4 linked regions of the Arabidopsis thaliana genome follow. The protein of the gene in region 1 interacts with the protein of each later gene in a pairwise test. Each region holds a gene or a part of one and is shown in the gene's direction. Other genes may lie near its edges. The genes, in order: VAMP727, KAT1, BRI1 and KAT3.

Region 1 (5,198 bases):
TAAAAAACACAATAAAAACGTCGGGAGTACTAATACAAAGATAATCTACGCAAACGGTTACATTTCTAGATGGTTTCTCGTTGGTTCGGATCCAGAGGATAGCAACTTTCAACTTGTGCCCGGTTCTTCAGAGTGGAGGAAAGACGCAGAAGAAAAATCTTTGGTAATCTTAGCGAAGAGTGATTTGGGAAAACTGGAAAATCCATGGTTATGGGTGACAGAGAAAGTGGAGGATGACATTATAATGGGATTTGATAGGGCAAAGAAGACGTTGCTAGGTTATGGTGGATCAGAGGATGTCAAACTCAGACTGATCGCTCGGTTTGGTAATGTTGTTTTCCATGAGTAAGGTTTTTGACTTCTCCTCAAATTTTCAGTTTTTAGGGACACACACAAACTCTGTTTTACCTGGGGCAGGGTTAGTGATTAGCCTAGTGTTGGTTTAAGAGCATTGTAATTACCGTAGGTGGTTTGTAGTGGATTGAAACTGTGTTGACAACTTGGACACTATAGTTGAGTCGGTTATCTACTATCTAGACAACTTAGAAACTATAGTTGGATTGCGCATTTCTCGCTAATCAAGTCTTTTTTATGTTGAATAAACAAGTTTACCGATTGTTATCTTATCAAATTGATGCAGTGTTAGTTCATCAGGAACTCTAAGAGATGGTCCGTTAACTAAAAGCACTTTGGAGAAATTGAAGAAAATGTTTCGTACAAATGTCCCAAAGTCTTATGTCGAAAATGTTGGGTATAGAGCTGTACACAAAATGGGATTTTGTGTTGAAGAAACCAAAGAGTTGTATCACGTGAAGGTGGTTTTGTTATTTCTTATGTTAGAGATTCATGATTGTGTCTGTAATTTCATTTTAATTCTTTTGTGGTTTTGGTTTCTGATTTTCTAGGTCTCAGACAACACTCGTCCTGATGTAACCATTTCATGTAAATGTATGGTGGACCAACAAAATAAACGACTCAATTTCTATAAGATAAGTCCTTTTCATCTCCCCTACTTACCACATTTTAAGTGAATCATATTGAAGCTTTTGTTTGGTTTTTATTCAGGCTGAGCTTAATGCTTTGAGGCACTTAAATCTTGACGTCTCATGCCTTGATCAAGATCTTGACATGAGGTTGATGGTTGACTCAAAAAGGACATTAACCAATCTCTCTGTGAGTTGACTTTGTCTAATCCATATTTAGTATCCAAGAGAATGAGTTGAAGAATATTAGCAAGTGGTGTAGATTAAAATGTGAAACATGGTTCTTCGATTGTATCCAGGAGAATGAGATTACGAATCTTAAAGAATTGACTGATTCAGCGGTGGTAGATCCAACTGTGAAAGGTGGGTTAAAGTGGCCACTTGGGAAATCTTCTTGTGCGGATCGATACATTGTTTGTGGTGTTTGGCATACTGTAACTACTACGTACATAAACCAGACTATGAGGCTTCAAATCCGAGAGGCTGATCGATATGATTTCAGAACTGGAGTTGGAGGAACCTCAAGTGAAGTGAATTTCAAACTAAAAGCATTAAGTACTATACTACTAAAGGTATTTTTTGTTTAGACATGGTCTTTTAATTGTAGTGATAGTCAACAAGTGACAATAGTTATGTTTACAATTTCAGGAGGAAGATGTGGAGAGGAAATGTGTTTCAGACATGCTGAAAGATTGTCTGAAAGCGGTTTGGGAATACTTTTTGAAAGAAGTTTAGTGTTAGTCACTTTGTTTCTGGTGTGTTTCCAGTTTGTGTCACTTACTCCAAACTTTGCTGCTTTTTTCATATTTTGGCTCATCTAATTTTGTTGCAATATTCACATTATCTTTTATCTTTTGGATTGGAAAAAGTATTTGATTATCGTTTAGATAATCAACTTTGTTTGCGTGTACGTTTTCATCAGTTTTCAGGTGTGATCTGTAAATTTAACAAATTCAGAATTTATGACTGATGATTAATTTACCCATCACAAAGGAACCATACCGAACACAGTTACGGTCATTTCAATTCTAACCCGAAAAAATAATAAAGAACCGGTAATATCCAAATCAAAGTATCAAACCAAGGCGAAATAGAATGGGTTTCCGATTTCAATAGCTAACTTTCATAAACCGAGAACCGAAACCGGAAACAATCAAACCAAACCATTTGGTGATTAAAGAATTAATCAGCATTAAGTTATGTCATATCATCTCCTGCTAAAAGCCTAAAAAGCTAAAACTAGTCGTGACTCGTCGTCGTCTGATATTACCAGATTCCTGAGAATTTGAGCCTAATCCTTCATCACCAAGCTAAGTCTCAAGGTACTCATTCCTCTCTCGCTTTTGTTTCTTCTGCTACTGCTACTGCTATGCGTCGTTTGATTCCTCCTTCAATTTCGTCTTCTCCGATCATATCTCTATACTTTTCTTCCGGAAGTAAATAGCACCGATCTTTTAATTGCGTCGATTTTCAACCTAATCGGAGCATAAGAACACGTTTTCCGATTTATAATTGTTGCGCTTCGGTGTAATTCTTCTCAATTATAAATCGCGATTCTATACGATTAGTGATTTTATCTCCCGATTTTGCGATTTACTGTTATCCTCCTCTTGGTGTTTTAGGGTTTTATCTGATTTCTACAGTGATCTATAGTTTTCCATATATATATTTCTGGATTATGATTCCATATTTGGTTTTGCATTCCAGATCTGATTGTGGTTGTGGTTGACTTCTTCTTCAAAGGTTTCACGAGTACAATAATGAGTCAAAAGGGTTTGATATATAGCTTTGTTGCTAAAGGAACAGTTGTTCTAGCAGAGCATACTCCTTATTCAGGAAACTTTAGCACCATTGCTGTTCAATGTCTGCAGAAGCTACCCACAAATAGCAGCAAGTATACTTACTCTTGCGATGGTCATACTTTCAATTTCCTTGTTGACAATGGCTTTGGTGAGTTTTCTTTCTTAGCCTTTTTCTACTTGTTGATAAGTTGAAAGCTTTTTTAATTTACTTCGGATTTGGTGATGCTTTGTGATTGTTGCGTGTATAGTGTTTCTAGTGGTTGCTGATGAGTCCACCGGAAGAAGTGTTCCTTTCGTGTTTCTCGAACGGGTCAAGGAAGACTTTAAGAAGCGGTATGAAGCGAGTATAAAGAATGATGAGCGACATCCTCTTGCGGATGAGGACGAAGATGATGATTTGTTTGGAGATCGGTTTAGCGTTGCATACAATCTTGACAGGGAGTTCGGGTCTGTCTATAGCTGTAACTATCTGATATCACTTCATTGTTTCGCATTGCAACTGTGTTCTGATTCTTTTCTTTCCCCTCTAATAGGCCCATACTAAAGGAGCATATGCAGTATTGTATGAGCCATCCAGAAGAGATGAGCAAACTTTCTAAGTTGAAGGCCCAAATAACTGAGGTCAAGGGGATCATGATGGACAACATTGAGAAGGTATGCTTTTGTCGTTATAAGAAAAGATGAACTAGCTTAGACATTTTAATTAACAGTAGCACGCAGATCTTGTACTTTTTTGGTTTAAGGTGACAACATTTTTATCCACATGATTTTGCAATTACAAAAAAGTACTGTAGGAAAGATGCTGAACAACAAATACTTTCTAGAAGAGATATTTGACACCAAATAAATAGGTTTACTTCCATGGTAGTTTTACTGGATAAATGTATCAATTGCTTTTCTCACAACCATTCTTTCATTAACCTATATCTGGTATAATTATATTGTTTGTGAATTACTGTGTTTTCTTTCCAGACCTTTGTCAACTTTTAAAACTGTGACAGAATGGACTTTAGTATCTAAGTCTGATAGAAACTAAGAAGTTGCACGCAGCTTGAATTAGATTTCCAGACCCCTGTTCTGCCTTTTAACCGGCTTGATTTCATACACGCCTCTGTTAAAATTTAGTACTGAGGAAGTCTAAATGGGATAATTATAGCATGAACTCCCTGCTTCTCATCATAGGAAGGAGTTGGTTGTGCTATAGTGCTGTTCCAAGTCACGATATATCATCTGTCGCTTTTGCTCTGTGGACTATGTTTCTATTTGCCTTAAGTTTGAGGTCAATAATGTTATAAAAAGTAACTGCAAGTAATTTTCAACAAAATCTAGTTTTTTGGTGCTGTAAAAGGTTAGGCAACCAGAGTAACTTCAGAATTTGTCGCACTATCATCTCCAATAGAAGATGGGGTTTGTCCCATTTTCACTGAACTAGCTTATGCCAATAGATGTTGATTATGAGAATGAAACGGAGAGGATTTGCAGCCTTTTTGATGATTATCTTTGATGTTATTTTAACAGGTTCTGGACAGAGGAGAGAAGATCGAACTTCTGGTTGACAAAACCGAGAACCTACAGTTCCAGGCAGATAGCTTCCAGAGACAAGGAAGGCAGTTAAGAAGGAAGATGTGGCTACAGAGTCTGCAGATGAAGCTGATGGTGGCTGGTGCTGTTTTCTCTTTTATTCTCATCGTTTGGGTTGTTGCTTGTGGAGGTTTCAAATGCTCATCATGATGTTTCGCTTCGTTTGTATCTGTTTTAACACTTAAATTGCATGCTCATGTTTGTACATGGAAGAACTTATAATAACATATCATCATATCATCATCATCTCCCACATGCTGTGATGCTATATATATAAAAAAAATGTTTTTGTTCTCAAGTTGCCGTGTCTGTTCTATTCTATGCGATCAGCAATTTTCTTTATGGTGATCTCCAAGATACATGTGTGTAGTGTATGCGGTTATGTCATTTAGGCTTCGACTGATATTAAGAAAAAAGAACAAGAAAATTGTAGGTACTGTATAAAGTTTTTACAGAGAAAAAAAGAAGAAGCAAACAATGATGACCCAAAAGCGAAATAGAATGTTACGGCTTTTAAACTCTGTGGCTGATGAAGCAAAGAGCAAAAGGTGAAGCGTAAAGGTGAGGTTAAGTAGGGCAAATCACATGGGAGGAACAAAAAAGGTAACAAAGTAATGTCTGCTAGTTGTTTTTTTACACCGTTTCTCGTTTGATAAAGCGGATATGAAATAATTTCATAAAGGGATATTTCGTACCTTTTCAATTATCCCCACATCAACTTCTCTGTCTATTGTCTACAGATATAAAGGGAGATATGAATAAGCATATATGGTTGGCTTCGTTTTTACTATGACTGAGGATGGTGAGAATTTATAGCCAATCAATTTTCTAA
Region 2 (6,158 bases), on another chromosome or scaffold:
AGGTATAAAACAGGTTTAGACCAACCGATTCCAAGACTTATGATGGCCCACAACAACAAAAATAACTAACAAATTTTTAGACCCTACACTACTCTTAGCATGCATGTGACAGCTTAAACTTAAATTTAAACAGTTAACATGAACAACCCCACTTGCACTAGGAAGACAGCAAATAGCAAACTTAAAGCAGTTTACGATTTCTGGTCTTTTAAGGCAAGGTTTAGTAACCCAGTAATTCCTTTTGATTTGAAATATATGAATAACCGAAATTAAAAAACAAAAAAAAAATCACAAAATACTAAAATTTGAAAGCCGAAATAATTCATTTTTCAATAGTTATAATCATCTTTTAAAAAGTAAGTTAGATCATAAAACCTAATATAAAACTTTTATTGGCAAAACTAATTAATCACGAGAAAATAATATTAAAGTTAGCTCATGTTATGTTTATATTAGGAATCTCTCATTTACTTTATTTTGTTTTGTTTTGTTTCTATAATGATATTAGGATTCAGGAAGACAATAAACAAAATATCAACAAGGAATCATGAAAGATACATTCGAACGGGCTCAGATCGACGCAGAAACAAAAAGCTTTGGAATGATTTAATAATACAAATTTGGCGGAAAGGTTTGAAGAATTTATACTTGGCATTCTATACTAGCGAACGAAAACAAAAGTTTAGTCAAATATTTAGGATTACCAAAAAATCAATATTCGTATACAAATGTGTTTTATTATAAACCATGATTTTTCATAACTTTATTCTTAGTTGTTTCAATTTGTTTTCTCTCATTTCTCGTTCCTATTGTAGAAAAAATTCCTGATTCTTTTTTCTTTTCTTTTGTTTTCCCATGTCAATTATAACCGCATTAGAAAAGGTTAGCACATGTTCATTTGCACAGAATGTAGTCAATGTACAATTCATCTATAATTTATCACCTTTTTGTTAAAAATATTTATAGCCATGTTATATATATTTTATCATGTTGTGTTTTAAACTCTAGATTTGTTCTTTCACAGTTTATGGGATTTATCATTTCATATATTTCCTCCTATGAGTAAGATGTCATTTTTAAATTCTTAATTAAGAATTTAGAAATCAAGTTTATTATTTTGTTAAAATTTATAAATTACGTATTTTTCCTTTATTAGTGAGATTAAGATATAAAGAGTCTAGCACACTAGAGAAATGAAAACATACATATATCTAGAAAGGGTTTATAAGAAATTAGTAAATGGAATCAGAACATGAAGGAGAAGGGAGGGGCCACCATACCGACGGGAATGAGAAGTATGGGACGGACAAGAAATCAAGTGTACACACATGAAAAAACCCACCACGTGAAGATCTCCTATTGGTGTGTCTTCTCCTAAGTACTAAGTATAAACCAAAGTCAAAACACAACAAAGACATATTGCTTGCGAGCCAGCGAGTGTGTCCGAGTGAGAAGAGAGTTTGGGACTTCACTGTTTAGAGAGCCTCATTCGCTACCTAGATTCGGTTTATCCACGTGGAGAGTTCACGTAGCTTCTATAATAATAATACATTATATAAGCTGTTTCGGTAAAATAATCTTAGAGTTTCACTTCCCATGCAAAAAGATTAAATGGACTACTATATTTTCTATATGAGTGTTTTGGAAATAATCTTCCAAGTTTATGGCTATTTAGTAAAACTCAATCCAAAATGAGAACAATAACTTTTTTTTTTTTTTTTTTGCAATGAGTACAATAAACTTATGATTGGTTTTGGGGACTAGAAAATAAAATAGAGACATATACTTTAAGAATAGTTGATGAGAAAATAAAACTTTTTTCGAAGAAAGAAAAAAAAATATACTCTGGCCCCTTACATATTCTGTCAAATGCCATTTTATTTTCTTTATTTTGCTTGGTCCATTTCTGGATTCCTGAAATGAACACACCATAATTTTCATGCCCATTTTTGTCCTCCCATTAACACTTACCAAACACCAAACGTACCTTCCTTCCTTTATATGTGTCTCTATGTCTATATATCACTCCCACCTTCAAATGCTAGGAAAGTGGACATCACACCATAGTCTGATAGTCATGAATCTCATCAAGTAGAAACCTCCAAAGAAACAGATTGCGTTTCCTCTTCTTCTTCCTCCTCTTTCGAATCTTATATTTTCGTGTCAAAAAAGAAACAAAATATGATGATATCTACCGCAAAAGCTCAATGTTTGCCACTTAAATTCTGTCTCATCTCTCAAGATTTTTGATCATCTCACACTTACTCCGTTCCGCATTTTACGCCTTTTCTTCACCATTGTTGCTTCTCGAATCGAAACCATATTGGTTTTGCAGCATTAATGGTGCACTGAGTCTTCTTAAAGCCGTTAACCTTTCCCTGCCAAATTCTCAACCAAAAAGAAAAAAAGATAACAAATGGGTCACAACAAGTTGCCATAAAGGTCCCAACAGAAGAAGAAAAGAGAAGTTTCCCCGTGTTGCTTTGTCACAAGCTTCATCACTATTTATAACTACCTTGCCAAGAAGAAAGCCTAAAAAGGTATAACAGTTTCTTTGTCTTTAGAGATCATCAAAAAGATGTCGATCTCTTGGACTCGAAATTTCTTCGAAAGATTCTGCGTCGAGGAATACAATATAGACACCATAAAACAGAGTAGTTTCCTCTCTGCCGATCTTCTACCATCTCTTGGAGCCAGGATCAACCAATCTACTAAGCTCCGCAAACACATAATCTCTCCTTTTAATCCACGTTACAGGTAATTTTCTCATCTACTAAACTCTGTTTTAAGTACTCTGTTTTCAACTATGTTTTCAACTATTCAGGTTATAAGTAGTTTTAACTACTCTGTTTTTACTCACGTTATAAGTATATTTAAAGACTCTGTTTTCAATCCTCTGTTTGTTGAAACAGAGCGTGGGAGATGTGGCTAGTATTACTAGTTATTTACTCAGCTTGGATTTGCCCATTTCAATTTGCTTTCATCACCTATAAAAAAGACGCGATTTTCATCATCGACAACATTGTTAATGGCTTCTTCGCCATTGATATTATTCTCACCTTCTTCGTCGCTTATCTCGATAGCCACTCCTATCTTCTAGTTGACAGTCCTAAGAAAATAGCAATAAGGTGAGAAACCTTTTTTCTTAACTTGAAACCTTTTATAAGTGAATGAGAATCTCAAAGTATGTTTTGAAATTGTAACATTTTCAGGTACCTTTCGACGTGGTTCGCTTTCGATGTTTGTTCCACAGCACCATTTCAGCCACTAAGCCTCTTGTTTAACTACAACGGAAGCGAACTAGGATTCAGAATTCTTAGCATGCTCAGGTTATGGCGTCTCCGGCGAGTTAGCTCGCTATTTGCAAGGTTTGCTTCTATGCTAACTAAGAGACCATACTCTTCTTAGGGTTTAACTAAGAAAGTGCTTACTCAAGTCTAACTAACTCTTACCTTTGCTTCAGGCTTGAGAAAGATATCCGTTTCAACTATTTCTGGATACGTTGCACAAAACTCATTTCGGTTAGTTCCAAAACAGAGCAAAACTAATCTCACTTATAATAAAGCATTTTAAGCTTAGGGCTGTCCATTTAGGTGATCTATTCTTAGGGTTTATTTGTCTTTTAAATGGACACCATATTAAAGCTAGTGACTTACACGTGCTTGTTGATCTCAGGTCACTTTGTTCGCTATACATTGTGCTGGATGTTTCAACTACCTGATTGCAGATAGATATCCTAATCCAAGAAAGACATGGATTGGAGCTGTGTATCCAAATTTCAAAGAAGCAAGTCTATGGAATAGATATGTGACTGCTCTTTACTGGTCCATTACGACATTAACGACCACGGGATATGGAGATTTTCATGCTGAGAACCCAAGAGAAATGCTTTTTGACATTTTCTTCATGATGTTCAACCTCGGTTTGACAGCTTACCTCATTGGAAATATGACCAACCTCGTCGTTCATTGGACTAGCCGAACCAGAACCTTTGTAAGTTTGATCACTTTCTTTTAGTCTAGGCATGTTCATTTCGGATAAAGGTTCGGGTAATAGCGTGGGGTTTACGTACTTTTGAGTATTTTAAGTTGACTAAAATAATATTGAGTATTACTAATCTGTAATGCTTTATTGCTTTGTGTTAAACAGAGGGATTCAGTGAGAGCTGCTTCAGAGTTTGCTTCAAGAAATCAACTCCCACATGACATACAAGATCAAATGTTATCACACATTTGCTTAAAGTTCAAAACAGAGGGCTTGAAACAACAAGAGACCTTGAACAATCTGCCAAAAGCAATCCGGTCAAGCATTGCAAACTATTTATTCTTCCCCATTGTTCACAACATTTACCTCTTTCAAGGAGTTTCTCGTAACTTCCTCTTTCAATTGGTAAAATTGTATTCTCTAACCTTTTTTCTTAACGTTTAATATGTAAGAGGTGACCAACTCCATGTACCTTTTCATGTTCAAGGTTTCAGATATAGACGCTGAGTATTTCCCACCAAAAGAAGATATAATTCTACAAAACGAAGCTCCTACTGATCTTTACATTCTGGTGTCAGGAGCAGTGGTGAGTGAAATATATCGGTTATATGTAAATATGTGAATAACAGTTAGGAATCTTGTAACATTGTGTATTGTACAGGACTTCACTGTCTACGTTGATGGACATGATCAGTTTCAAGGGAAAGCAGTAATTGGAGAAACATTTGGAGAGGTTGGAGTTTTATACTATAGACCACAACCATTCACAGTAAGAACAACCGAGCTATCTCAAATACTGCGGATAAGCAGAACATCGCTGATGAGTGCGATGCATGCTCATGCTGACGATGGACGAGTCATCATGAACAATCTCTTCATGGTATGTGAGTTATTATAGAAATGTTTCTATAGTTAAAACAAACTCTAAACTCATTTTTGGCTATAAAACTTTCAGAAACTTAGAGGGCAACAGTCAATAGCAATAGATGATTCGAATACTAGTGGTCACGAAAACAGAGATTTCAAAAGCATGGGATGGGAAGAGTGGAGAGATTCAAGAAAAGATGGCTATGGTTTAGATGTTACGAATCCGACTTCCGACACTGCTCTAATGGATGCGATTCACAAGGAAGATACTGAAATGGTTAAGAAGATACTTAAGGAACAAAAGATAGAGAGAGCCAAAGTGGAAAGATCAAGTAGTGAAACCGCTGGAAGAAGTTACGCTAACGATTCATCGAAAAAAGATCCATATTGCAGCTCAAGCAACCAAATCATCAAGCCATGCAAACGAGAAGAAAAGAGAGTTACCATCCACATGATGTCTGAGAGCAAGAACGGGAAGTTGATACTCTTACCATCATCCATAGAAGAGCTTCTAAGACTTGCAAGTGAGAAGTTTGGAGGCTGCAACTTCACAAAGATCACCAATGCGGACAACGCTGAGATTGATGATTTAGATGTCATTTGGGATGGTGATCATTTGTATTTTTCATCAAATTGAGTTTGAAAACTCGACTTCATTTATAGAGCATGTATATCTGCAGATAATGTATTTTTACCCGGTTTCATAGAAAAGTCTAGATTATCAAAAGCAGAGTATACAAAACTGACATTAATTGACACAAAAACACAATCTTATTTCACAGCTTGACTATGATACATTGATACCGTTCTGTTTGAACACAAAACATTATTCTACACGAGTCTTCTGCTTTGAACTTGTTTCACATGATAAATCAAGAAAATTTTATTTTTCTCTATTATCAATAAAGATTTTAAGAAATTTACCTATTAAAAAGACGAAATTTTTTTTTCAGAAAATTAAGCGTATATTCAGTTTGATTTATTTTAAATTTAAACACTTCAACATGTTTGTAATAAAAAAAAATCAAAATAAGAAATTCTCGAATGTATTTTATATTCAATCAACGAATAAAATAAATTATTCCACGAACATGAACTGCATGCGTCCCACCTCATTTTATACGAAATTTCCATGTTACCCTCTCTAATACTATTCTCCTTCCTCTTCCACAGACCCAATTTCGTCATTCAATTCCAAAACTCACACCTCTATATAAATCCAGCAAAAAGTCCCCAAAAAGTCACCACCACAAATCTCATCGAAATGTCGTCTCAAGAAACGAAATCAGATCAAAGAGAAGGAGCAG
Region 3 (6,687 bases), on another chromosome or scaffold:
GATAGATAGACACACTCTCTCTCTCCACCAATCGCACTCACCTCCATGAGCGCGTGTAGACCACGTCGCAATGGTGGCTCGATGTAGAAACAACGCCGTTTTGTGTTCACGTATGTCTGACGCGCGAGCAGAGAGCGTGGGTGATTTGTCACACGAGCGCTTATAAATGAGAGTGTGGGGAGGACAGTTTCGTCCCTTTTTTGGAAGTTAGAATCATTACACTATTTTGGCGTTTTGCTTGATTATGATGACATTATAGAATAAAATGTTCTATTATACGAAATTAATACATCACTAAACATACTTTTCATTCAGTTTGTATTTAAAAAGTTACTTGTACCAATATAGTATTCTATCAGGTTGTTTGTTTTTCTGTTCAATTGTACTTATACAAACCTTCCAAAAAAAGTGTTACACTTGCGATAGATAGTTACACAAATGTCATTCTCTATGATCTTCCTTCTTTATTTGAAAATGGTATCGCAGTATTATTCGCTGAAAGTTGAACCTTCAAACCAGTTACCATTGCAGACGACATTTTCTCTACAAAAGTTAAAGTGATAGTAACATATCTCGAATTTAATTGAAAAGTTTACTACTCAAGTAGTCAAGTTCCTGTTACCCAAAACTATGTGTATAAAGTGAATTTTTTGTTAATTATGTAACTATGTATACACCGGGTACAGCTGCACGTAGGGTTTGTACATAATTACGAAATATCTCTATAAAACTGCGACAGAAGGAAAAAATAATAGAATAAGGCTTTAAGAGAAGTTTGGTCTATCCGTCTATGTAAGTGCCAGAGAAAAAGAAAGCAGTTTAAAAGTGAAAGGAGGGATTAATTAGTGGGAAAAGGTTTATCGAAAACTAATAATAATACTTCTCTGATTATTAAAAAGAGATGGAATCTGCCATTAATTGACACTCATGTCCCAATCGTCTCTCACACGTACGTTCGTTTTTTTTTTTGTTTCTCTTTTGCAAAAAGCTATAGAGACAATCTCTCCTCCACTTTATTTTTAGTTTTTCTTTCAGATACAAGTGAGAGTGAACAAGAGAAGAGTGTTAATGTGAAATGTTTGTGGTTGGTGTGAAATTCATGTAAAAATATGTATGTATTACCTTAACATTAAAGTAAATTTGAACTCTTTCAAACTATCACATTGAATGCTCCAAATCTTGTTGTATATGAGTATCAATATAAAAGAAATTTAGATGCTTATACTATGTTCCATTTTTACTGAACACTACTTAACCATTAGTCCATAAATGTGGAATTAGTTAGTTGCTGGCATCTTTATATCAGAATCAAAAGTTTTGCATATTGGGTGACAGTGAGTGCATACACCAATAATTCACCGATCAAGATCCAACCAAGTAAGAAGAAAAATATAACATGAATTATCTTGATTTTTTTTTTAATAAAAATAAAAATCAATGAATATATATGCTTATTATAAAAAAAAACCCAGCACTAAACAGAAGATCAGATTAGACTTGTGTTTTAAAAATATTGAGAAGAGAATCAAGAGATAGGTGGTTGGGGGTAAAATGTATACAAATGTTACAATAAAGTCTTAAGAAGAGTTTAAAAAGGGTAAGTAGGATATGTAGCTTGCAGAAGACTTGATCCCATCCCCTAATCTCACGTTAATTAAACACCTCTCTCATGTACAGACAAAATACCTCATTTCTTTAACTTAAACTTAACAAAAGCTACTATGAGATTAAGGATTTTGTGATGCCATTATTTTATTTATTTTTAGTATCCTCTTGCATTAATTAACTTTTTTTTTATAACCACATACAATAATTAAAAGTAGTATTATTTGTTTGTATCTGTTATCGAAATTGAAATTAATATATATAATTTTTATAATAATCAGAAGAAGAGGTAACATGGCATGTGAGTGCACAGCTGTGACCACTCTTCCCTTCACCATTTGATAAATACCTTCTTCCATCTTCCTTCTTCTGTCTTTTGACTCTCTTCTCTCTCTCCTCTCTTTCTGCTTTCCTCAATCTCTCTCTTTCTATCTCTAGAGCTTCCACTTCCTCTCTAATGGTGGAACCAAAACCCTAGATTCCCCCTTTCATCTTCTCTACTTCCCACACTTTTCTCTCTCACAAACTCTTGAGAAATGAAGACTTTTTCAAGCTTCTTTCTCTCTGTAACAACTCTCTTCTTCTTCTCCTTCTTTTCTCTTTCATTTCAAGCTTCACCATCTCAGTCTTTATACAGAGAAATCCATCAGCTTATAAGCTTCAAAGACGTTCTTCCTGACAAGAATCTTCTCCCAGACTGGTCTTCCAACAAAAACCCGTGTACTTTCGATGGCGTTACTTGCAGAGACGACAAAGTTACTTCGATTGATCTCAGCTCCAAGCCTCTCAACGTCGGATTCAGTGCCGTGTCCTCGTCTCTCCTGTCTCTCACCGGATTAGAGTCTCTGTTTCTCTCAAACTCACACATCAATGGCTCCGTTTCTGGCTTCAAGTGCTCTGCTTCTTTAACCAGCTTGGATCTATCTAGAAACTCTCTTTCGGGTCCTGTAACGACTCTAACAAGCCTTGGTTCTTGCTCCGGTCTGAAGTTTCTTAACGTCTCTTCCAATACACTTGATTTTCCCGGGAAAGTTTCAGGTGGGTTGAAGCTAAACAGCTTGGAAGTTCTGGATCTTTCTGCGAATTCAATCTCCGGTGCTAACGTCGTTGGTTGGGTTCTCTCCGATGGGTGTGGAGAGTTGAAACATTTAGCGATTAGCGGAAACAAAATCAGTGGAGACGTCGATGTTTCTCGCTGCGTGAATCTCGAGTTTCTCGATGTTTCCTCCAACAATTTCTCCACTGGGATTCCTTTCCTCGGAGATTGCTCTGCTCTGCAACATCTTGACATCTCCGGGAACAAATTATCCGGCGATTTCTCCCGTGCTATCTCTACTTGCACAGAGCTCAAGTTGTTGAACATCTCTAGTAACCAATTCGTCGGACCAATCCCTCCGCTACCGCTTAAAAGTCTCCAATACCTCTCTCTGGCCGAGAACAAATTCACCGGCGAGATCCCTGACTTTCTCTCCGGCGCGTGTGATACACTCACTGGTCTCGATCTCTCTGGAAATCATTTCTACGGTGCGGTTCCTCCATTCTTCGGTTCATGTTCTCTTCTCGAATCACTCGCGTTGTCGAGTAACAACTTCTCTGGCGAGTTACCGATGGATACGTTGTTGAAGATGAGAGGACTCAAAGTACTTGATCTGTCTTTCAACGAGTTTTCCGGCGAATTACCGGAATCTCTGACGAATCTATCCGCTTCGTTGCTAACGTTAGATCTCAGCTCCAACAATTTCTCCGGTCCGATTCTCCCAAATCTCTGCCAGAACCCTAAAAACACTCTGCAGGAGCTTTACCTTCAGAACAATGGCTTCACCGGGAAGATTCCACCGACTTTAAGCAACTGTTCTGAGCTGGTTTCGCTTCACTTGAGCTTCAATTACCTCTCCGGGACAATCCCTTCGAGCTTAGGCTCTCTATCGAAGCTTCGAGATCTGAAACTATGGCTGAATATGTTAGAAGGAGAGATCCCTCAGGAGCTCATGTATGTCAAGACCTTAGAGACTCTGATCCTCGACTTCAACGATTTAACCGGTGAAATCCCTTCCGGTTTAAGTAACTGTACCAATCTTAACTGGATTTCTCTGTCGAATAACCGGTTAACCGGTGAGATTCCGAAATGGATTGGCCGGTTAGAGAATCTCGCTATCCTCAAGCTAAGCAACAATTCATTCTCCGGGAACATTCCGGCTGAGCTCGGCGACTGCAGAAGCTTAATCTGGCTTGATCTCAACACCAATCTCTTCAATGGAACGATTCCGGCGGCGATGTTTAAACAATCCGGGAAAATCGCTGCCAATTTCATCGCCGGTAAGAGGTACGTTTATATCAAAAACGATGGGATGAAGAAAGAGTGTCATGGAGCTGGTAATTTACTTGAGTTTCAAGGAATCAGATCCGAACAATTAAACCGGCTTTCAACGAGGAACCCTTGTAATATCACTAGCAGAGTCTATGGAGGTCACACTTCGCCGACGTTTGATAACAATGGTTCGATGATGTTTCTGGACATGTCTTACAACATGTTGTCTGGATACATACCGAAGGAGATTGGTTCGATGCCTTATCTGTTTATTCTCAATTTGGGTCATAACGATATCTCTGGTTCGATTCCTGATGAGGTAGGTGATCTAAGAGGTTTAAACATTCTTGATCTTTCAAGCAATAAGCTCGATGGGAGGATTCCTCAGGCTATGTCAGCTCTTACTATGCTTACGGAAATCGATTTGTCGAATAATAATTTGTCTGGTCCGATTCCTGAGATGGGTCAGTTTGAGACTTTTCCACCGGCTAAGTTCTTGAACAATCCTGGTCTCTGTGGTTATCCTCTTCCGCGGTGTGATCCTTCAAATGCAGACGGTTATGCTCATCATCAGAGATCTCATGGAAGGAGACCAGCGTCCCTTGCTGGTAGTGTGGCGATGGGATTGTTGTTCTCTTTTGTGTGTATATTTGGGCTGATCCTTGTTGGTAGAGAGATGAGGAAGAGACGGAGAAAGAAAGAGGCGGAGTTGGAGATGTATGCGGAAGGACATGGAAACTCTGGCGATAGAACTGCTAACAACACCAATTGGAAGCTGACTGGTGTGAAAGAAGCCTTGAGTATCAATCTTGCTGCTTTCGAGAAGCCATTGCGGAAGCTCACGTTTGCGGATCTTCTTCAGGCTACCAATGGTTTCCATAATGATAGTCTGATTGGTTCTGGTGGGTTTGGAGATGTTTACAAAGCGATTTTGAAAGATGGAAGCGCGGTGGCTATCAAGAAACTGATTCATGTTAGCGGTCAAGGTGATAGAGAGTTCATGGCGGAGATGGAAACCATTGGGAAGATCAAACATCGAAATCTTGTGCCTCTTCTTGGTTATTGCAAAGTTGGAGACGAGCGGCTTCTTGTGTATGAGTTTATGAAGTATGGAAGTTTAGAAGATGTTTTGCACGACCCCAAGAAAGCTGGGGTGAAACTAAACTGGTCCACACGGCGGAAGATTGCGATAGGATCAGCTAGAGGGCTTGCTTTCCTTCACCACAACTGCAGTCCGCATATCATCCACAGAGACATGAAATCCAGTAATGTGTTGCTTGATGAGAATTTGGAAGCTCGGGTTTCAGATTTTGGCATGGCGAGGCTGATGAGTGCGATGGATACGCATTTAAGCGTCAGTACATTAGCTGGTACACCGGGTTACGTTCCTCCAGAGTATTACCAAAGTTTCAGGTGTTCAACAAAAGGAGACGTTTATAGTTACGGTGTGGTCTTACTCGAGCTACTCACGGGTAAACGGCCAACGGATTCACCGGATTTTGGAGATAACAACCTTGTTGGATGGGTGAAACAGCACGCAAAACTGCGGATTAGCGATGTGTTTGACCCCGAGCTTATGAAGGAAGATCCAGCATTAGAGATCGAACTTTTACAACATTTAAAAGTTGCGGTTGCGTGTTTGGATGATCGGGCTTGGAGACGACCGACAATGGTACAAGTCATGGCCATGTTTAAGGAGATACAAGCCGGGTCAGGGATAGATTCACAGTCAACGATCAGATCAATAGAGGATGGAGGGTTCAGTACAATAGAGATGGTTGATATGAGTATAAAAGAAGTTCCTGAAGGAAAATTATGAGAGTTAGAAACAGAGCCAAAGCAGATTCTTTGAACATCAAAATCATCTAAGGGTCAGTCCGATTTTCCTTGGGTCTATTTTTTTTGTATTTTCTACTATATGCTAAGTGTATGTATCTATGTTATTTATACATAAGACGGATGTTTTTTTTTTCGGGCTCGGTCGAATTGGGGGTGGTGGAGAATAGAACTAAGTAATAACTTTGTTAAGAATATGTAAATATACAGTTTTTTGGGGAGGGATTTGTAATGTTTTCGTTTTTAGTTCTATGGAAATTTCTACGTTGCTAACAAATTAAATTTATAATGAATCATGAAGAAACAAAGAGCCAATGTGTATTAAATTTCGACTGATCATGTTCATGTAAATGCACGTGACCTATTAATTCATTATTGTCGGAATTAATTTGGGGAATTCACACTGCACGGGAATGGGAAAGTGAGAATAGATGAGACTTAAATTTGTTTTTATGGATGTTATATTTACATGACCAATGTGGTCCCTTTTGAACTATGCTGAGTTAAACGTTTTTTTTTTTGCTATATACTTATTACTGATGAAATTGAACCGTTGGACTATATTTATATCCATCTACGTTATTTTTTCCATTACTATTGATTTTGTTATTGGCCCAAGTAGAATCAAAAGAATGGTTTTTTGATGTCATAATTTGCAATATAGAAATGGGAGGGATATGTATTGCATAATAAGATAAAGATAAACCTTTATCGAGACATAAGATTGTATGTAGATATTGAAAATGATAGGGTGATCAATGGATTTTAAAAAGTTTAAACAATTTTGCTACTAATAAATAAGAGATTGATATATAACATGGAGAAATGGACCTTCGCCTGAAATTAAAACAAAGTCTGGGTTTCATTCATGTTTCAGTGAGACACTGCGCCAACATCACCACAACAAGTCTTACACAAGGAACGTGTGCCTCACGTGC
Region 4 (6,195 bases), on another chromosome or scaffold:
AAAAATGTTCAGGAAGGATTCTCATCCCAATGAAACGAAAGCGAAAAAAGATTATCCCTAAGGCAATGGTGCCAAACAAAACAAAGAGTTACTAGCAACAATACACATATAGAAGCAACATAGGTAAATATCTTAGCTCACATAGAATAGAAAGTTAGCAACTTTATCCATCAAAAACTCACATCTAGGAGTGAGATTGTCCCTCAAACTGAAAACATAATGACCATCACGATCATCGTCCCTTAATGGTGGTGACAAAATCCTCCCATCGCTTCCATGTCCTTTAATCACAGCCCTTTTAGCCTATCACAAAAAAGTCAAAATTCATTCATTGTCAGCATATCAAAATCTCACCAAAGAAACATAAATGCTCGGTCTTTCCTCCACATTCTAAACCCTAATTCGAAGTTCTAAATGTCAAAGATTAATTAAAAAAAGAAGAAGAAGAAAGAGGAGCAACCTCTGGTTCAGCTGGGGCCTCGTCCCAGGTCATACGAGGACGTTTCCTGACTCGTTCTTTATCCATACTCTCGAATCCGTTAGCTATCATCACCGACGCGGAAAATCGATCACCGACACATCCAGAACGGAATCTGATGCCAATCTGCAGCTAAAAGAGGGAAAATTTCTACCAGAAACTCTTTACGTAGATGTAATCACAAGGCGGCGAATCGGGGAGAAGGTGATAATCTCCGAAAATGGTGAAAACAGAGGAATTGCTAGGGTTTGGAACTAGAGAGAGTGCAAGAGAAAGACAACTCCCAATAATTTTACCGGCCAAATCCCTTGGGGTCGAACCGCGACGACATCCACCAATTGCATTTTTTTTGCACTTTCCACCGAAAAAATTGGGTCTACACGATCACCCGGAATGTTTCGCCCACCCGGCCCAAATGAAATGTGGTGAGATCTTCTTATAATCTTGGCCCAAATTTCCATCATGGATCTTAAACGTTCGTTTCATTGTTTCTTGGATTTTTTTTCATTAACTGGTCCATCTCAAAATGGGCTTCCATAAAAATGGGCTTTTTTACAAAAGGGTTTTGTTTCATTAATTGATTTTCGTGTTTTTTTATCCGTAACAATTATGCTTTCGTTTCCTAATTTATACGAGCAAACGTAAAAATGTATAGTATTTGACTATTTGGTTTTACGTATCAACAATCAACAACATACTGTACATCAGTACATACACAATTTTTTTTTAACATACACAAACTTACTTTATGTACAAATGAACTATTAAGAAATGGCTTTAGCCTTGTTATTGCATGCATCTTCTTAATTTGTGTATGTGAAATTCTTCATAGGAGCTAATTAAGGGACGAAGACAAAGTGTATCCCCCTTCATGTATTACCTAAACGTATCTTAGAATTTCAAAACATTGTTTTCCTTAGAATTTTTTAAAAAAATTGTAAACATGCACATCCAACACTGGAAAGTGGAAAGAAGTATATATATATGATATGTTATCTCAAAAAAACTGAAATGATTGTATTAAAAACATACTAAATTCTGACTGATGATAGATATTGATACGTAATTCATTTGTTTATTATTGTTCGTTTTGTTTTCAACACTACTATTCCTGTCACGGTCTCATTTAATAACAACAACAAAAAAGACGTCAAGATTTGACTTTTGAGTTCCTCAATTTTTTCAACTCCAGTATTTAAACAGCTAATTATTACATAATTTATCGTAAGAAAAAAAAAAAAAAAAACCTTATCCCCCTGATATTGTAGATCTCGATTGTAATCACTACACCTGATGCCACATTAAATACACACAGAGACGTAAATAAGAGTCAAAAAAGTCGATGAAGCCTTCTGCATATATAACAACAAAGTTGAATATATAAAGAGTAAAATTCATCATACTACAATCTTGAAAAATTATAATTTATTAGATGGTTAAGTAAATTTGTTTTATAGTATTGTTATATTCTTTTTTTCCAAAAAATATAGGGAAAACAAAAACCAGTAAAAAAAAAAGTCAACTTAATTTGCTCACCACCTTCTTGATCATCTAAACACCTCTTTAATAATTCAAAACTAAAAAAAAAAGGTATAAATGAAAGAGACAAAAGAGGGAAGTATATATCATCAAGCTTGAAGAAGAGAGAGAAGAAGAAGAAGGAAAAAAGAATGTCTACGACGACTACTGAGGCGAGATCACCGTTGCCGTTGTTGTTGAGAAGAGGAAGGTCTTCGACGGCGTTATCGGCGTCGACGGCGGAAGCAAGATCGCCGTTATCGATACTGCAGTTCAGAAGAAGATCGAGCAAAGATGTGAGGAACATAACGTCAGTTTCGAGCAGTCTCTTGCCTGCTTTTGGGACTTTCATCGAAGATGATAATCCTTCTTCCAAACCTTTCATCGTTCTTCACTTTGATCGTCGTTACAGGTTCATTTCTCACTAACTAAACAACGAAGAAATGTTTTTTGGTTATCAAACAATAAATAGTGATTTACAGATTTCATAACTTTTCTGTTTCTATTAGTCCATAAATTAATGATCAAATGATTCGTTCATTAATTTTCATATTTTTACGTCTTAAAATTGTTATTTCTTATTAATATTCATATATCTTAATTTTTTTTTAATCTTTCCATATAAAAATTAATGGTAGGTTGTGGGAATTGTTTTTGGTGATATTGGTTGGGTATTCGGCGTGGGCATCTTTGTTCGAGTTGGCTTTCGAGAAAGCTGCCGAAGGAGCGTTATTGACCATTGATCTCGTCGTTGACTTCTTCTTCGCCGTTGATATCATCCTCACCTTTTTTGTTTCCTACTTGGATAATACTACTTACCTCAATGTCACCGACCACAAGCTCATCGCCAAACGGTAACAAATCAATTTGTTTTTATATGTTAAAAAAATAACATAAGTAAAATGAATAAGTTAGAATTGAATTATATATGTTGTGCATTATTATAGGTACTTGAAGAGCGTGGCTTTTGTGATGGACGTAGCATCAACGTTACCCATTCAATTCATTTATAAAACTATTACCGGAGATGTCGGACGAGGCCAAGCTTTCGGCTTCCTTAATTTACTCCGCCTCTGGCGTCTCCGTCGTGTAGCCGAACTCTTTAAAAGGTTTTTTCTTTACTACTTTCTATATAATATGCAATATTGAAATCCACTTATCATATAGTACATATGTGTGTGTCTATTTTACACTTCCTTTCTTTCTTTTTTTAACAGACTAGAGAAAGACGCACATTTCAACTATTTCGTGATCCGAGTCATCAAACTTCTATGTGTAAGTTTTACTTATATTGAATTATCTATATGTGGTCCATACAATCACTAAATTGGCTATGTCAATCTATGACTTTTATTCAAATTGTGAAATTTGATTCAGGTAACGATATTTTGGATACATTTGGCGGGTTGCATTTTATACTGGATAGCCTACCATTATCCAAGGCCTACGGATACATGGATAGGATCGCAAGTTGAGGATTTTAAGGAAAGAAGTGTATGGTTAGGGTACACTTACTCAATGTACTGGTCCATTGTCACACTCACTACCGTGGGTTACGGTGATTTGCATGCAGTTAATAGCCGTGAGAAGACATTCAACATGTTCTACATGCTTTTCAACATTGGCCTCACTTCTTATATCATCGGTATCATGACCAATCTAGTTGTCCATGGCGCTCTTCGTACATTCGCCATGGTATATAATCATTCATTGCTTAAACCCGAAAAGATTGTTTACTCATTCATTTACTCTACCAGTCGTACAATAATCATTCTTCTGCTGAACAGAGGAGTGCGATCAATGATATATTGCGATACACAAGCAAGAACAGGTTACCGGATACAATGAGGGAACAGATGCTTGCACATATGCAGCTCAAGTTCAAGACCGCGGAGTTAAGGCAAGAAGAGGTTCTTCAAGACTTACCTAAGGCCATAAGATCAAGCATTAACCAACATCTATTCCGCTCCATCATCGAAGAAGCTTATCTTTTTAAAGGATTCCCCGAAGGCCTCCTCGTCCAGCTGGTGATCGTCCATCAACAATTCCATTTTCTTTTGTTCCTTGTTAAACAAGGCAGTGGTAATTCATTCTTCTATGTTGTTGTTGTAGGTTTCGCAAATACAAGCAGAATATTTTCCGCCGAAAATGGAGATAATCTTGCAGAATGAGATTCCAACGGATTTCTACGTAATTGTATCTGGAGGAGTGGTATGATATATCTATATATCCTCTACATACTCATTCATTTATCCCGAAAAGATTGTTTACTCATTCATTTATCCCGAAAAGATTGTTTACTCATTCTTATTTATATTTGACTTCAACTGATTAAAAGAAAATTTGCAATTTTAGGATATAATTGCTTCCAAGGGTGTGAGTGAACAGGTAAAACTCTGAACAAATTTCAGTTATAAGAAAAACACATTTCATAAACTTAAAAGATTGAGATAGAGTATGAAGAGTTGGTTGATAAATGGTGAAGGTATTAGCGAAGTTAGGTCCCGGAAGTATGGCAGGAGAGATAGGAGTAGTGTTCAACATTCCTCAGCCTTTCACAGTGAGGACACGTCGACTTTCACAAGTTATCAGAATTGGTCATCATAAGTTCAAAGAAATGGTGCAGTCTGATAATGACGTCGACGCCAAAATGATCATTGCCAATTTCATGACAGTAAGTTTACATTCACAAAACGGTAGTAACATCAATATAGTGTTTATATTGTAACACTAATAATTAATGTTTCTTTCTTTAATTTCAGTATCTTAAGGGATTGAATGATGAGTTAAAAAAAGAAATTCCTTTTCTTAGAGATTTATTAGATGACGCAGATGCTCAGGTTCAGGTATATATACCTTCTTATAACAAATAATGCATAGTCCTCTCGTCAAAATTGTCAAGTGAGTTTGAGATGAAAACGCATTTTTTGGTGACAGGAAACAGTTCAGTCAGAGGAAACACCACAAAGTAACGATGAGGAAATAGTTACGGTCTCAAGACATGAAAATGGACAGAGTAAGAAGACATTTTTTTTTGTTGAAGACAGAGTAAAATGAACATGTTTTTTTGTATGTATAGAGACCCTTTTTTTAACAATGACATTTGATTGCAGTAGAAGAGAGAAGAAGAGAGGGAGTTCCAAAAAGAGTGATAATTCATGGACAAGCTCCTCCTAATCAAGATAACAAAAACAATGGTGATTCCAACGGTAGACTTATCATTTTACCTGACTCTATCCAACTTCTATTCGACTTAGCTGGTCAGTTTCACTCTTATGATGTCACTTCTCTTTACTTATACATTGAAAGTTTTTTAAAATTTAATATACTTTATATTGAACTCATAAAACTATGGTGGATGCAGAGAAGAAGTTGGGGAAACGAGGAAGCACGATTGCAATGGCAGATGGTGCACATGTTGAACAAATTGATGCTCTTCGAGAAAACGATCATTTATATATTTTCTAATTCGTTTATAAATATATATATTCACAATTATCACTTCCCACACAAATAATGATACAAAAAAAACTATATTTTTGTTAGCGTAAGGTGCTTATGAAAAGATGCAAAGTCAGATATATGAAAATATAAGGTGAAGATCGAATTCCCAATTCCACTATTATGAACTTGCTTCTTATCTTTTTGACATCTTGAACTTAAAATTATGTTTGATTGAAGATTGCATTAGCATACAACAAAAGTACCATTGTTGCATACATTTTAGCATTTTCTCTTATTACTGAAACAATTCTCTTTAAAACATTTGCATCAACGGCTACTTATAAAGTAACTAAAAACCATAAAAGCAGTGAACACTGGAGAAGATTGACCTATCAATAATGGTGATGATCATTCTCAAATAGGGGGTCTCCTGTTCGATATTCGTCATTGGATGGCAAAACTATCCAACGTCACTCTTCTCCACGTCAATCGTGAACGAAATAGTGCTGCAGATAAGATGGCTCAATATGTTTTGTCTACTACTACTCTGTATCAGTCTTTTATTGTTCCTCCTCGTTTCTTACTCTCTTATTTGTATCAACCTTATACAATCTAATAAAGTTGTAGTAGTAGTTGTTAAAAAAAAAAGAAAATAACAATTATTTCATATTTTACACTGCATTGTACATCAAAGACTTTTATTTGTATATTCGGTAACAACCAACAAAAAAAAAAGTATTTGAAAGGAAATTCTT

The links.
Region 2: the proteins of VAMP727 (region 1) and KAT1 interact in a two-hybrid assay, tested with the Arabidopsis thaliana proteins (one study listed by BioGRID).
Region 3: the proteins of VAMP727 (region 1) and BRI1 interact in a protein complementation assay, tested with the Arabidopsis thaliana proteins (one study listed by BioGRID).
Region 4: the proteins of VAMP727 (region 1) and KAT3 interact in a two-hybrid assay, tested with the Arabidopsis thaliana proteins (one study listed by BioGRID).

The regions. Positions count from the first base shown.
Region 1 is NC_003074.8:20,107,673-20,112,870, reverse strand, and holds VAMP727 (vesicle-associated membrane protein 727), read left to right. Parts: upstream 1-1,987; 5' UTR 1,988-2,305; exon of another isoform or gene 2,306-2,510; intron 2,511-2,690; 5' UTR 2,691-2,743; coding exon 2,744-2,933; intron 2,934-3,033; coding exon 3,034-3,232; intron 3,233-3,318; coding exon 3,319-3,439; intron 3,440-4,303; coding exon 4,304-4,516; 3' UTR 4,517-4,664; downstream 4,665-5,198. Other genes in the region: AT3G54310 (DNA-directed RNA polymerase subunit alpha), read left to right, coding at 1-326, 655-815, 906-953, 1,066-1,173, 1,283-1,555, 1,632-1,718. UniProt on the Arabidopsis thaliana protein: Involved in the targeting and/or fusion of transport vesicles to their target membrane.
Region 2 is NC_003076.8:18,742,982-18,749,139, reverse strand, and holds KAT1 (1), read left to right. Parts: upstream 1-1,733; 5' UTR 1,734-2,578; coding exon 2,579-2,757; intron 2,758-2,912; coding exon 2,913-3,128; intron 3,129-3,212; coding exon 3,213-3,368; intron 3,369-3,463; coding exon 3,464-3,521; intron 3,522-3,675; coding exon 3,676-3,993; intron 3,994-4,149; coding exon 4,150-4,389; intron 4,390-4,471; coding exon 4,472-4,570; intron 4,571-4,645; coding exon 4,646-4,864; intron 4,865-4,939; coding exon 4,940-5,488; 3' UTR 5,489-5,630; downstream 5,631-6,158. Other genes in the region: AT5G46230 (hypothetical protein (Protein of unknown function, DUF538)), read left to right, coding at 6,116-6,158. UniProt on the Arabidopsis thaliana protein: Highly selective inward-rectifying potassium channel. This voltage-gated channel could mediate long-term potassium influx into guard cells leading to stomatal opening.
Region 3 is NC_003075.7:18,322,685-18,329,371, forward strand, and holds BRI1 (Leucine-rich receptor-like protein kinase family protein), read left to right. Parts: upstream 1-1,772; 5' UTR 1,773-2,141; coding exon 2,142-5,732; 3' UTR 5,733-6,147; downstream 6,148-6,687. Other genes in the region: PLS (polari), read right to left, coding at 6,505-6,615. UniProt on the Arabidopsis thaliana protein: Receptor with a dual specificity kinase activity acting on both serine/threonine- and tyrosine-containing substrates.
Region 4 is NC_003075.7:15,750,751-15,756,945, reverse strand, and holds KAT3 (potassium channel protein), read left to right. Parts: upstream 1-1,898; 5' UTR 1,899-2,148; coding exon 2,149-2,408; intron 2,409-2,634; coding exon 2,635-2,850; intron 2,851-2,943; coding exon 2,944-3,105; intron 3,106-3,213; coding exon 3,214-3,271; intron 3,272-3,373; coding exon 3,374-3,691; intron 3,692-3,783; coding exon 3,784-4,023; intron 4,024-4,108; coding exon 4,109-4,207; intron 4,208-4,351; coding exon 4,352-4,384; intron 4,385-4,481; coding exon 4,482-4,670; intron 4,671-4,758; coding exon 4,759-4,842; intron 4,843-4,933; coding exon 4,934-5,012; intron 5,013-5,109; coding exon 5,110-5,256; intron 5,257-5,360; coding exon 5,361-5,464; 3' UTR 5,465-5,675; downstream 5,676-6,195. Other genes in the region: AME3 (Protein kinase superfamily protein), read right to left, coding at 183-303, 461-550. UniProt on the Arabidopsis thaliana protein: Probable modulatory (alpha) subunit of inward-rectifying potassium channels. Could mediate potassium uptake from the soil solution by plant roots in association with AKT1.